2 linked regions of the Anolis sagrei genome follow. The protein of the gene in region 2 interacts with the protein of the main gene of each other region in a pairwise test. Links are inferred from orthologs where the notes say so. Each region holds a gene or a part of one and is shown on either strand. Other genes may lie near its edges.

Region 1 (7,354 bases), on a different chromosome or scaffold from region 2:
ACAAATACATATTTATATCCTTGGCAGTTGCAAGAATCTCTGGATTGCTGTGAGTTTTTCAAGCTGTATGGCCAAGTTCCAGAAGCATTCTCTCCTGACGTTTCGCCCACATTTATGGCAGGCATCCTCAGCGGTTGTGCGATCTGTTGGAAGCTAGACAAGTGGGGTTTATATATTTGTGGATGGGAGAAAGAACTCATGTCTGCTGGAGGCAAGTGTGAATGTGGCAATTAATCACCTTGATGAGTATACAATAGCTCTGCAGCTTCAAAGCCTGGCTGATTCCTCCCTGTGAATCAAACTTATCTCCAACACACAATAGTTCTGTCTTTCACCTTGGACCTTCCACAGATATATAAACATTACTTGCTTCATTTCCAACTGACATCACAACTTCTGAGGATGCCTGGCAAAGATGTAGGCGAAACGTCAGGAGAGAATGCTTCTAGAACGTAGCCATGCAGCCCGGAAGACTCACAGCAATCCAGTGATCCTGGCCATGAAAGCCTCTGACAACACAGTGCAATGTTTAATTCCAGAAGGGAATGTGCAAGGGAGGGGGTATAACTCAAATCCCAGTCCTATGTGTTTGTGTATATGTGCGTGTGTATACACACACACACACACACACACTAGCCATTCCCTGGCATGCGTTGCTGTGGCCCAGTCTGTGTATATGTGTTTTGTATGTGTATATATATTTGTGTATATATGTGTGTATGTGGTTCTGCACATGTGTTGCAATGTATTTTTTTGCTTTTTAAGCCTCTTCTGTTGTGGTTTTCAGTGTTTTTGTGAGTGATGGTCATTTGTTGGCCTGATAGGCGTCTTGTGTCCAAATTTGGTGTCAATTCCTCCAGTGTTTTTTGAGTTATGTTAATCCCACAAACAAACATTACATTTTTATTTATATCGATATACATACACACACATATATATGTGTGTGTGCATATATATGTGAGTGTATATAGATATATATATACGTACATATATATACACAATTCCTCCAGTGTTTTTTGAGTTATGTTAATCCCACAAACAAACATTACATTTTATTTATATCGATATACACACATATATATGTATGTGTGTGCATATATATGTGTGTATATATATATATATATATATATATACACACACACATATATATCTCTTTGTGCATATATATACAAATATGTGTGTGCATATATATGTGTGTATGTATGTATATATACATGCATATATATGTCTGTGTGTGCATATATATATGTGTGTGTGTATAGATATAGTTTTTCCTCCAGTGTTTTTTGAGTTATGTTAATCCCACAAACGAGCATTACATTTTTATTTATATAGACATACACATATATATGTGTGCGCATATATATGTGTGTGTATAGATATATATACATACACATATACACACACATATATATGTCTGTGTGTGCATATATATACAAATATGTGTGTGCATATATGTGTGTGCATATATATACATACATATATATACATACATATATATGTCTGTGTGCCTATATATACAGATGTGCGCGCGCATATATATGTGTATATATATATACACAGATATATATGTCTGTGTGTGCATATATATACAGATGTGTGTGCATATATATGTGTATAGATATATATACACAGATATATGTCTGTGTGTGCATATATATACAGATGTGTGTGTGCATATATATGGTTGTGTATATATATACATACATATATATGTCTGTGTACCTATATATACAGATGTGTGTGCGCATATATATGTGTATAGATATATATACACAGGTATATATATATCTGTGTGCGCATATATATACAGATGTGTGTGTGCATATAATGTGTGTGTGTATATATACATACATACATATACATACATATATATGTCTGTGTACCTATATATACAGATGTGTGTGTGCATATATGTGTGTATAGATATATATACACAGATATATATGTCTGTGTGTGCACTTATATACATAAGTGTGTGTGCATATATATATATATATATATATATATATACATATACACATGTGCATGTGTGTTTATATCTATGACATATTTTTAAACCTCAAGTTGGCACAACAACTCCCGTCCAAGCCCTTTATATATATTTTCCTGCAAACCCCAAGTTGGCACCAATCTCTTGAGCAGCGCAGTAAACAAACCAGGAAAAACACACATACACACACATATTTTTTAAAAGGGAAGTGTCTACAACTACAGAGCTGTCTCTCTCTTTTTTTTCTCCTCCTCCCCCTTTTATTTTTTTGCCCCTCCTTTAAAGCACTCTCTCTCTCCATTACTGGAGAGGCAGAACATATAGATATATAGATATATATATAGGTTAATGCCAAGCAGGGGGAGGAGGGGGAGAAAGAGAAGAGTAAGTGATGAGATTAAAGGAAGAGAGAGAGAGAGAGGGAGGGGGGAAAAACAGGGAGAGAAGGGATTGCTCTCCATATGAAATCCCTCCATGGAAAAGAGAAGGGGAGGGTGGGAAAAGGGTGGGAAAAGGGGGGAACCCTCCCCAAATCTTCAGATTTGCAACGTTGGCAGTGACAGGAACAGCTGCGATGGGACGGGGCAAGGAGGGTGGAGACAGCTGGAAAAATATATCTACATACATATACAAGGCTCAAAAGAGGGAAGACATATTGGGGTTCAGGAAGGACACCCTCTCCCTCTTCCAACCAAGCCACTCTTTGCCCACAAGCTTACCTTTGGCTGCTTCAGCGTCGCCTTTGCTCTCTCTCTCTTTCCCCCCCTCCCTTCTTCTTTGCAAGCAGGAAGCTGGCGTGGTGCTTGCCTTGCCCCCCCCCCTCCCCTTCTTCTCCTCCTCCCTCCTTTCCAAGCTGGAGTTTCCCTTGCTCTTCTTCTTTGGAGGAGGAGGAGGAGGAAGAAGAGAAGGAGGCGCCACCGACGAGGAGGTTTGTAAGATCCTGGAGGAGGAGGAGAAGCAGCAGGAGCAAGGGCAGCGGCGCTCGCCTGGTGCGTTGGTGTCACTAGAGCTGGGGAAATGGACTCGAGAGGCGAAGGGAAGGAGGCCGGCCCTGGCTCCTCCTCCTCCTCCTCCCTCTCCCTGCTTTTGCTGCTTCTGCCTCTCTTGCTGTTGCTGCCACCGCCGCCTTAGCTGACGCCTGCACCCTGCAGGCCGAGGGCGCGTGCTGCCAGGGAAAGAAGGAAGGAAAAGAGGGAAGGAAGGAAGGAGGAAAATACTCCCACCTCTCTCCCTCCCCAAAGAGGCGTCCCGAAGGCAAGTTAGTTGGACATGGCCTTCGGAATCCACGCAACTCCTTAACTACCCCGGCTCAAGGTTGTGGGATCCTGGGAGTTGTAGTTTTGCAAGGTCTTTTGAGTTCTTGCAACTCTAGCTGCTCGGGCTCAAGGCTGTGGAATCCCGGGAATTGTAGTTTTGCAAGGTTTTTTAGAGTCATTGCATGGCTCAAGGTTATGGGATCCTGGGAGATGTAGTTTTGCAAGGCCTTTCTGAATCATTTGCAATTCTTACCTGCCCAGGCTCAAGGCTGTGGAATCCTGGGAGTTGTAGGGTTGCAAGGTATTTTGAATCCTTGCAACTCTAGCTGCTCAGGCTCAAGTCTACGGAATCCTGGGAGTTGTAGTTTTTCAAAGCTTTTTAGAGTCAATGCATGACTCAAACTTATGGGATCCTGGGAGTTGTAGTTTTGCAAGGTCTTTTGAATCCTTGCAACTCTTGCTCAGGCTCACGGCTATGGAATCCTGGGAGTTGTAGTTTTTCAAAGCTTTTTAGAGTCAATGCATGACTCAAGGTTATGGGGTCCTGGGATTTGTAGTTTTGCAAGGTCTTTTGAATCATTGCAACTCTCAACTGCCCAGGCTCAAGGCTGTGGAACCCTAGGAGTTGTAGTTTTGCAAGGTTTTAGAGTCAATGCATGGCTCAAAGTTATGGGGTCCTGGGAGTTGTAGTTTTGCAGACTCCAGGCTATGGAGTCCGGGGAGTTGTAGTTTTGTAAGTTTTTTTTAGAGTCAATGCATGGCTCAAGGTTATGGGATCCTGGGAGTTGTAGTTTTGCAAGGTCTTTTGCATCATTGCAACTCTAGCTGCTCAGGCTCAAGGCTGTGGAATCTCGGGCATTGTAGTTTTGTAAGGTTTTTTAGAGTCAATGCATGGCTCAAGGTTGTGGGATCCTGGGAGTTGTAGTTTTGCAAGGACTTTTGAATAATTTGCAACTCTCAACTGCCCTGGCTCAAGGCTGTGGGATCCTGGGAGTTGTAGTTTTGCAAGGTCTTTTAGAATCAAAACATGGCTCAAAGTTATGGGATCCTAGGAGTTGTAGTTTTGCAAAGTCTTTCTGAATCATTTGCAACTCTTAACTGCCCAGGCTCAAGGCTATGGAATCCTGGGAGTTGTAGTTTTGCAAGGTCTTTGAATCAATGCAATTCTAACTGTCCTGGCTCAAGGCTGTGGAATACTGGGAATTGTAGTTTTACAGGGTCTTTGGCATCATTGTAACGTTAATTGCCCACACTCAAGGCTGTGGGATCCTGGGAGTTGTAGTTTTGCAAGGTCTTTCTGAATCATTGCAAGTCGTAACTGCCCAGGCTCAAGGCTGTGGAACCCTAGGAGTTGTAGTTTTGCAAGGTTTTAGAGTCAATGCATGGCTCAAAGTTATGGGGTCCTGGGAGTTGTAGTTTTGCAGACTCCAGGCAATGGAGTCCGGGGAGTTGTAGTTTTGTAAGTTTTTTTTAGAGTCAATGCATGGCTCAAGGTTATGGGATCCTGGGAGTTGTAGTTTTGCAAGGTCTTTTGAGTCCTTGCAACTCTAGCTGCTCAGGCTGAAGGCTGTGGAACCCTGGGAGTTGTAGTTTTGCAAGGTTTTTTAGAGTCAATGCATGGCTCAAAGTTATGGGATCCTGGGAGTTGTAGTTTTGCAAGGTCTTTTGGATCCTTGCAACTCTCAACTGTCCAGGCTCAAGGGTATGGCATCCTGGGAGTTGTAGTTTTGCAAGGTCTTTTGAATCATTTGCAATTCTTAACTGCCCTGGCTCAAGGCTATAGAATCCTGGGAGTTGTAGTTTTGCAAGGTCTTTTGAATCCTTGCAACTCTTGCTCAGGCTCAAGGCTATGTAATCCTGGGAATTGTAGTTTTACAGGGTCTTTGGAATCATTGTAACGTTAATTGCCCAGGCTCAAGGCTGTGGGATCCTGGGAGTTGCAGTTTTGCTAGGTCTTTGGAATAATTGCAACCCTGCCTACAAATGACATCTGGCTCAGTGAAGGTACTGACACTTTGTTTTTTCCCTTTGTACTAGTTGAGTATCCCTTACCTGAAATGTTTGGAATCAAAAGTATTTTGGGTCCCATCTACACTGCCATATAATCCAGTTTCTGAATCCAGATTGTCTGCATTGAACGGGACTATACGGCAGTATAGACTCATATAATCCAGTTCAATCTAGATTTAGAAACTGGATTATATGGCAGTGTAGGTCCAGCCTTGGATGTCCAATTTTTTTATTATTTTGGAATCCCTGTATTTGCATACATAATGCGATATCTTGGAGATTGAATTCAGATCTAGACAGTAAATTACTTTATGTTTCATATGCACCATATACAATTGTCCGAAAGGTCATTTTACACAATATTTTAAAAATAATTTTGTGCATGCGACAAAGACAAATGAGCAAATCAAATGGACCAACAGAAACCGTTTTACCTTGCACATTTCATGAAATGACATGACTCCTTAGAAAAAAATAATAAGGAAACGAGAATGGGTTCATCTACACTGTAGAATTAATGCAATTTGATGCCACTTTCACTGCTAGGACTCAGTGCTATGGAATCCTAGAAGTTGTAGATTAGATCCCAGCATGCTTTGGCAGAGAAGGCTAAAAACCTTGTAAAGTTATAAATCCTATTATTCCATCGTATTGAACCATAGCAGCTAAAATAGCATCAAACTGCATTCATGTTGTGCCCAAAGTCAAAGCCAACTCAATGTGAATTAACAGCAACACATTTTATGTATTTGGAGAAAGATTGAAAAGCTGCCTTTTGCATTTAGCGATTTCTGCTGTGTATATCTATATCTAACACTTGCATTGGTCTTCTGCCCTCCATGCGCCATCTATATAAATAAAAATGTAATGTTAGTTTGTGGGATTAACATAACTCAAAACCAACTGGGTGAATTGACACAAAATTTGGACACAATACACCTATCAGGCTAATGAGTGACCATCACTCATAAAACACTGAAAAACACAACAGAAGGGACTTAAAAAGGCAAAAAAGCAAAAAGATGCTACAGCGCACGCGCAAAAACGACTCCCCCAGCAAACAAAACACACAATAGCATAGCCACACTTGCTTCCAGACTACAGCTCCCAGCATCCTCTAGACCAGGCCCTTTAGGAGGAGAGGATGATCCAAATGCACTGCTTCCAAGATGCAAGCTTTCTTCTCCTTGGATTTCTATGAAAGCATCCCAATCTCTCCATATTTCCAATTTCCTATTCCCGGACTGTAACTGCCAGCAATCCTCCAGATAGCTAGATGACATAGAGATAGATAGACAGAGAGATCAGGAGGACTGGTGGGAGTTGCAGTCCAAGAATCGGTAGAGAAGGAAGAACAGGGAGAAAGAAGAAGGAGAGAAAGGGGCGGGAGGAATAGTCCAACAATAAACAATCATAAAATGACTAATAAACACTGGACATAAGAAAGGAAAAGTGGAGAAGTCCACCTTTGCAGCACCTTTGAGGCATAGTTTTGTTCATGATACATATGATGAAGCTCATACTGAAATATATGAAATATATACCCCTTGATGAATTGTCACCTTGTCGTTGTGAGGCGGCTTGCATGTTTCAATGAACCTATGGGCATAACCACTAGATTCATGCACTCCTGGGGGGGGGGGTGCACAGGGGAGGTTCCAGACCAAGCACAATCCGAAGACCTCAACATTGGATCAGGCAGAAGATAACATGGCACATGTTACAATGGCTGTGAAGGCAGAAGAAGGTTGCACCAGATTGAGAAGCCACTGTCGTGGTGTTAATTACGCCACTGGTTGGGACCCCCACTCTGTGAAGACTGCGTTTTGATTGGCTGTGAACCAACTTCCACATATTTAAAAAAAAACACAAGTGTCTTCCAAGAACTTGAAAGGCCATCACACTTGGACTATGAGGAATCGCTTAGGAGGAGGACTGAACTATATCACTCTGTCTCAAGTGTACTTTCAAATGTCACTTGCATATTCCTTATTTTAGGACAGGTTAATAAGGTTATTGCCTCAAAAATTGTGAACAAGCATTGAGTAGACATACATACTGGGCTCTTAGTAGACTTTGTTCTTGTGGGACATCC
Region 2 (7,165 bases):
CCACAAATTGAGACTATCTCATTAAGCCTTATGTTGCAGTACTGTCATCTTGCAAATGACTGATTCTTTTGTGTGTGTGCTAAGAGAGGCATCTAGCAGTAATAATTTGAAACTCAAGATAGAATTTATGGGCATTTTGTGGTTGCAGAAATATAGCAATTTCAAATTAATTCCATTTTTTAAAAACACCTTACATAAAATGGTTAGCCAGCAAGGGGTTTAACCTGCATCCAGAGCTGCAATATCCCTAGATAGGATAGGAAGATAACTCACAAAGTGATGTTCCCTTTTCTGTCAAACTTAAAATGACCGTATATGTTTCCGTCACCAGACATGATTTTAAGTATTGCATGTGCGATTGTCTTTGAATTGAGTGACTTCTGATGTCAAATAAGTGCTTTCTTCTTATAACCTAATTCTATTTCAGGTTCGTCCCTCATGCAGCAACATATCCCTTGAGTGTATGGGTGAGTTAGAGGATGGAGGAAGATTCAGAAGTGAAGGCAATTGACTGGAGCAGATAGATCCAGCTCACCCTAACTTCCAGCAGATGACAACAAAGAAATTTACCTACGCAGTTTTGATCTATTAAAATTAACACTGCTCCACAATGAATCCAATCATAAATATTTTTGTACCAGGTTATCTGTATTATACACGAGAGCCCGGTGGTGCAGTGGGTTAAACCACTGAGCTGCTGAACTTGCTGACTGAAAAGTTGGTGGTTCAAATCCAGGGAATGGAGTGAGCTTCTGCTATTACCCCCAGCTTCTGCCAATCTAGCAGTTCGAAAACATGCAAATGTGAGTAGATCAATAGATACCGCTCCAGTTGGAAGGTAACGGTGCTCCAAGCAGTCATGCTGGCCACATGACCTTGGAGGTGTCTACAGACATCAGCTCTTCGGTTTAGAAAAGGAGATGAGTACCAACCCTCCCGAGTCGAACATGACTAGACCTTTACCTTATCTGTATTATGTAATCAATATCTGGTACCATTTCAGATGTTTTCTTCAAACTACTCACAGTTACAAAGCTGAGTTCTTTCATAACATCATTAATGATTCCTCTCCGTATCAGGGCTTTCATTAGATGTTGTTCTGAGAGTTGCTGGTGTTCAGGTGCCAGTTCTTCACGAATAGTCTCAGCAAGGACTTCTCGGACCCTGCTGTGGACATCCATCTATGAAGAAATAATAATACTAATAATAATATAGGTATATGTTTATATTACATGTAATATTATTAATAACATTACAATACAATGGTATAGTACAATATAGTAATAGTTAATATTGATATTGTACTATGCTAATAATATAATATATTGGACGTATGTATATCCTGTAAGCCGCTCTGAGTCCCCTTTGGGGTGAGAAGGGCAGCATATAAATGTTGTAAATAAATAAATAAGTACAGTGGGCCCTTGGTATCTGCTGGGGTTTGGTTCCAGGTCCTCCTGCGGATACCAAAAGTCATGGATGCTCAAGTCCCATGATATACAGTGGCATAATAAAGTGGTGTTCCTTATACAAAATGACAAAATCAAGGTCGGCGGTTTGGATTTTTTTGGAGGCGGGGGGAGTGTTTTTAAGCCATGGATGTTGGGAATCGAAGAATGCAGAATATGTGGGTATGAAGGTCCAACTGAATAAACGAAGGCAGGCAAACCAGCCTTGGTGTATAGTTGACTATTTCAGACCAAGCCAATTTCAGATTTAAACCAAAGATGGAGAGTATCAGGTTCGATTATTCCTGCTCATAAGCCATAGTTCAGTGGGATTCCCACTTTTGCTTATTTGCTTATTTTTTAATTCCACTGTTATTACGAGGGGTATTTTTTTAAGTAAGATCCGTTTTATTGTAGACACTAGTAGTTTGCGCGCATACCGCAACTAGCGCGTGCGTTGTGTACCGGCATGCCTCAGGAACAACTGTGCTCAGTTTCCGCTCTGTAGCTAACCTGTACGGTTCTGTTCTGTGCTTTAAAAATGTTTAAGACTATCAACTCACCCTCCGCATGTGAGGTTCGCTCAGTGATACGGTTTTTGCCAGCAAGGAACCTGCCTGTTGCAGAAATCCATCGACAGATTTGTGAAGTGTACGGTGATACTGTTATGAGTGAAAGCAAAGTGCGTAAGTGGGTACGACAATTCAAAGATGGCCGTGACAACGTCCATGATGAGGACCGTTCAGGTTCCTTGCTGACAAAAACCGTATCACATACGGCTGAGCACAGTTGTTCCCGAGGCATGCACGTGCTCATTGCGGTATGAGCGCGAACTACTAGTATCTACAACAAAACGGACCTTACTTTTAAAATACCCCTCGTATATACACCCAGCCTCTGCATCCATTGATTCAACCATCTGTAGCAGCCATCCCCAAACTGTGGACTTCCTATGGTGCAAGCATGGGCCAACTTGGGCCCTCCAGGTGTTTTGGACTTCAACTCTCAGAATTCCTAACAGCCTCAGCTTAAGCGGCTGAGGGGGGGGGGGGAGGAAAGGGCCTGAGGCTGTTAGGAATTCTGGGAGTTGAAGTCCAAAACACCTGGAGGGCCCAAGTTGGCCCAAGCCTGCTATAAAGGCTTTCAATGGGCATTTTCTCTTCCTCCTCCTCCTTCTCACCTTGGTCAGCTGCTGGTGAATGATCTGCTTGAGCTCTGAGGCTTTCCCGGGAGCCAAGGCCATGGCTCAGCAACTGTCCCAATTCCTTAGACTAAGTGGACACCAGACAGGCCTTCATCCCAGGCACCTCCAACCACAACACCACACTCCTCCGTTCTCCCGCGCGCTCAAACCGCCTATCCCGTCTCCCCCCTCCCAAGAGCACCCATTGGCTGGATCTCCAGCCAATCAGCAAACTCGGCCCCTCCCACAGCTAGCCATGCGCTTGCTCGGGCCTCAACCGCCTTTCAAAAAATAAAAGGTGTCTATCACAATTGCCTGATAGCAAGGCAATCGAGTCTTGTTAGGCAATTAATACCCGTACGGCAGAACAACAACAACAACAACAACAAAAATGTAATTTTCCTTCAAAGGAACTGTCGCTCGCCCGTTAACTGGCTGTCAGTAAGCGCAGATGGGGACAGGCACTGTGCAAGACACCTCTCCGAGGCGGTGAACAAGAAAGGCCCCTTGCTCTCGCTACCAAAGGGAACTCTTGTGTAGGCCTGCGGTGCGTCCAGTCAGCGTCTTGGATAGAATGTTCGTTCCCTGCGAGGGCCGCGCGCCCGCTGACTTCAAAGGCTGCACGCTGCTAATGGTAATGGACAGTTCCTTCCTTGCGCGGCGCGAGACGGCCGGAGAGAGCGCCCAACCCCCCGTTGCCCGGGCAACGCGCGAGCGGGCGCGTGGCATTGAGTCAGGCGTGGGAGGAGGAGGAGGAGGAGGAGGGAGGCAGTAGGAGGGGTCTCTACCTAAAATATGGAGGGAGGGAGTGTGTGTGTGCCCCTTTAAGGGCGCATCTACACTGTAGAATTTAAAGCAGTTTGACATTGCTATGGGATGACTGTAGAATTTAATGCAGTTTGACACCATGGCTCAGTGCTATGGGATGATGGGAGCTATAATTTTGGTGAGACTCCTGCAGTGGTTAGACTGGTTCTCAACCTGGGGTCCCCAGATGTTTTTGGCCTACAATTCCCAGAAATCCTAACAGCTGGTAAACTGGCTGGGATTTCTGGGAGTTGTAGGCCAAAAACATCTAGGGACCCACAGGTTGAGAACCACTGAGAGGATACCTCTTGTCTTTTGCTGAATGTAGCATTTGCGGGGTTTTCTTGCGAGGTCTATAGATAGTTTGTAGGTATATCTTCGAAGGCTTTCATGGCCGGAATCACTGGGTTGTTGTTTGTTTAGGGCTATAAAGCCCTAAACGACTCCGGCCCTGTTTACCTCTCCGAACGTATTCTCCCCTATGAATCATCAAGATTATTAAGATCGTCTGAAGAGGCCCTGCTCTCCGTCCCACCGGCCTCGCAAGCGCATCTGGTGGGGACGAGGGACAGGGCCTTCTCGGTGGTGGCCCCTCAACTCTGGAACTCTCTCACACTGGAGATCAGAACCGCCCCTTCTATCCTGACATTTAGGAAACAGGTGAAGACGTGGTTATGGAGACAGGCATTCGACTAGTGAGCCAATACCCTGAGATATGGATGGAGGATGATGAACAACGATTTTAGTGTGACGACTGACCATTGTAGTTATTGAATGTAATTGCTGTTTTAATGTTTTACTGTAATACGAATTATGATGTTTTATTGACTGTATGTGATATTATGGTCGGAAACCGGCCTGATTCCCTCAAGAGAGGTGAGAAGGTCGGTATACAAAACTTTTAAATAAATAAATAAATAAATAAATAAAATTTTCAGGCTGTATGGCCATGTTCCAGAAGCATTGTCTCCTGACGTTTCGCCCACATCTATGGCAGGTATCCTCAGAGGTTGTGAGGTTTGTTGGAAACTAGGAAAATTGGGTTTATATATCTGTGAAATGTCCAGGGTTGGGAGAAAGAACTCTTGTAGGGTGAGGCAGCATAACTTTCTTTTTTCAAAACTTAATAAAACCCATTGTATGAATCGGAATTTTTAAAATATATAATGTAGGCGAATACCTAAAGTTTTGTTTTACATAGTTTTGAAGATCAAATTAGGTAGGTGACGTCCTCCATTCTCCATACACCGAGTAAACCAAATCTTGTAGGGTCCTTGGATGGTTCACATAAACACGGGATTTCAAAAAAACCCATAGAAAAAAATCACAAGGGGCCAAATCTGGAGAACGGGCCGGCCACTCCAAATCCGCTCGAAAAGTAGGCCTCAATGGCAAAAGCACATTCCTCACTGCTCCAACGCATGATGGCGACTGAACTGTGTCAGGACAAAACTTTATACTCCCGCCTCTCAAACGAGACCACTAGCGCTCCGCTACGTCTTCAACCGACTGAATGGCACGCATTTTTTTAAAAGTATCTGTGGAAGGTCCAGGGTGGGAGAAAGAGCTCTTGTCTGTTGGAGGTAGGTGTGAATTTTCAATTGGCCACCTTGATTAGCATTTAATGGCCTAGAAGTTTCAAGTTTCAGGATTTATTTATTTCATATCAAAAGCATTGCATAAATTAGTGTAAAACTGATAAAAATAGAAGGAGCACAGGCAGCTAAACATCTTTTGACCAAAAACAGGCAACAGCAATGGCATTGTCTGTAGCCTCCAACAATTCTTCCTCTGTACATGAGGCAGGGCATAGTGGACAAGCATACAGGAGTGGAGTTGTCTGTAAGTTTCAGGAGAAACATCAGGAGAGAATGCTTATGGAACATGGCCATACAGCCCGAAAAACTTACAACAACCCAGTTTGTAGGTTTTCTTTATCAGGGTTCCTATGCGGTCAGTGGTTCCCTTGATGTATGTCAAGAATACATATGGACAAAAGGGATCCTCTCACCTCTGCAGGAGTCTACTATGCAGCTGTGGACAAGTCTACATAGGGACCACCAAATGCACCATTGCCCAAACACGAATAAAGGAACATGAAAGGCACTGTAGACGAATTCAACCAGAGAAGTCAGCCATAGCAGAGCACCTGATGAACCAACCTGGACACAGAATATCATTTGAGAACACAGAAATGCTGGACCACTCTAACAACTACCATGTCAGACTACACAGCGAAACCATTGAAATCCAAAAGCATGTGGACAATTTCAACAGAAAGGACGAAACCATGAAAATGAACAAAATCTGGCTACCAGTATTTTTTTAAAAGAACTCTAAAATCAGGACAGTAAATAAAGAGGAACACTCAAACAAGGGAATTCTAGACAGGAAACAATCAGCCAGCTAACACCTCCCAACAAAGGATTCCCTCAGGCAGCTAGCAGCCAGGCTTTGACGCTACAAGGCCATTAAATGATAATCAAGCTTCCAGTTGCAACATTCACACTTTCCTCAAACAGAGAAGAGTTCTTTCTCCAACCATGGACATTCCACAGATATATAAACCCCACTGTCCTAATTTCCAACAGACCTCACAACCTCTGAGGACACCTGCCATAGATGTGGGCAAAATGTCAGGGGAGAATGCTTCTGGAACATGGTAATACAACCTGAAAAGCTCACCACAACCTATGTGTAAGATTGCTAGCAAAACTATGTATATAATAATTGCTGAAGAATCCTGTCTCTTTGTGTTAAAAAGGATTTGATACCCTTTCGCCTCAGTTCGATTAAAAGGACAATTATCTGAACAAGCAGATACCATTTTTAAAATTGGTAAATAGCAGCCACATTACTTTTTTCTCCAAAACATTATAAAATATACTAATACAAACTGCTTTGAGTCTTCTTTGTGAGGTGTAAATAAACATAGTAATAATAATAATCTGAATGTGTACATTTTGCTATAAATTACTTTGGCATTACTTTACTATAGTATTGTGGTTTGACAGCTGAAATGTGTTAATACCACTACTGCTAATAATAATAACCTGCCCTATCTCCCCAAGGGGACTCAATAGAAATGGTTAATAATGTTCAGTGTTCAACTAACATGTTTTTTTAAATTTGAAAATCAGTCATTTTTTTCAGATGATGTAACTCGCATGCATCTGTTATGTCATTTCAGCCCGCGGTATCGGTGGGGAATGTTGGCCAGCTGGCTGTAGATCTAGTTATTTCCACCCTTGACATGTCTAAAGTTGGGTACTTTTATACTGATTGTCTTGTGCCAATGATTGGAAATAATCCATATGCAACAACAGAAGAGAATGCAACAGAGCTGTGTATAAATGCTGAAGGTAAGTACATTGAATGTAATGTTGGGTGCTAACTTGGGCTTGTTGTGTCTTCTCCAGAGAAACACCCTTCTTTTTAGAATGAATTTGAGCATTTTAACTCCTTGCTGTATAGAAATAGTATATGAGAAATAGTATCTGAAGTGAATTATCCCTGCTTTCCAGCACTAATTGATGTGGATATTACAGTTTTCAGCAACATTTCTCATTCAGATTGTATATATTAGCACACAATTCTTCCAAAGGGATAGTACATAATTGCTTATACTATTAATACCGAGAATCATACATTAAAATGGGAAGTGTATAAACATGCTTTTCTCCCTGTATAGTACAGATATTCCCTGTATAGTACAGATATTCAAATG

What was found. The genes of interacting proteins can lie anywhere in the genome.
Region 1: the proteins of CEP76 (region 2) and THRA interact in binary tests that used the Homo sapiens proteins (3 or more experiments, as listed by UniProt). The two-hybrid records come from large-scale screens. The link is inferred for Anolis sagrei from reciprocal best matches to the Homo sapiens genes CEP76 and THRA.

What each region holds. Positions count from the first base shown.
Region 1 is NC_090026.1:40,792,580-40,799,933, forward strand, and holds the start of THRA (thyroid hormone receptor alpha), read right to left. Parts: upstream 3,066-7,354; 5' UTR 2,713-3,065; intron 1-2,712.
Region 2 is NC_090024.1:66,286,351-66,293,515, forward strand, and holds the start of CEP76 (centrosomal protein of 76 kDa), read right to left. Parts: upstream 3,041-7,165; 5' UTR 2,692-3,040; coding exon 2,629-2,691; intron 1,182-2,628; coding exon 1,026-1,181; intron 1-1,025. Other genes in the region: PSMG2 (proteasome assembly chaperone 2), read left to right, coding at 3,206-3,265, 6,629-6,800. UniProt on the Homo sapiens protein: Centrosomal protein involved in regulation of centriole duplication. Required to limit centriole duplication to once per cell cycle by preventing centriole reduplication.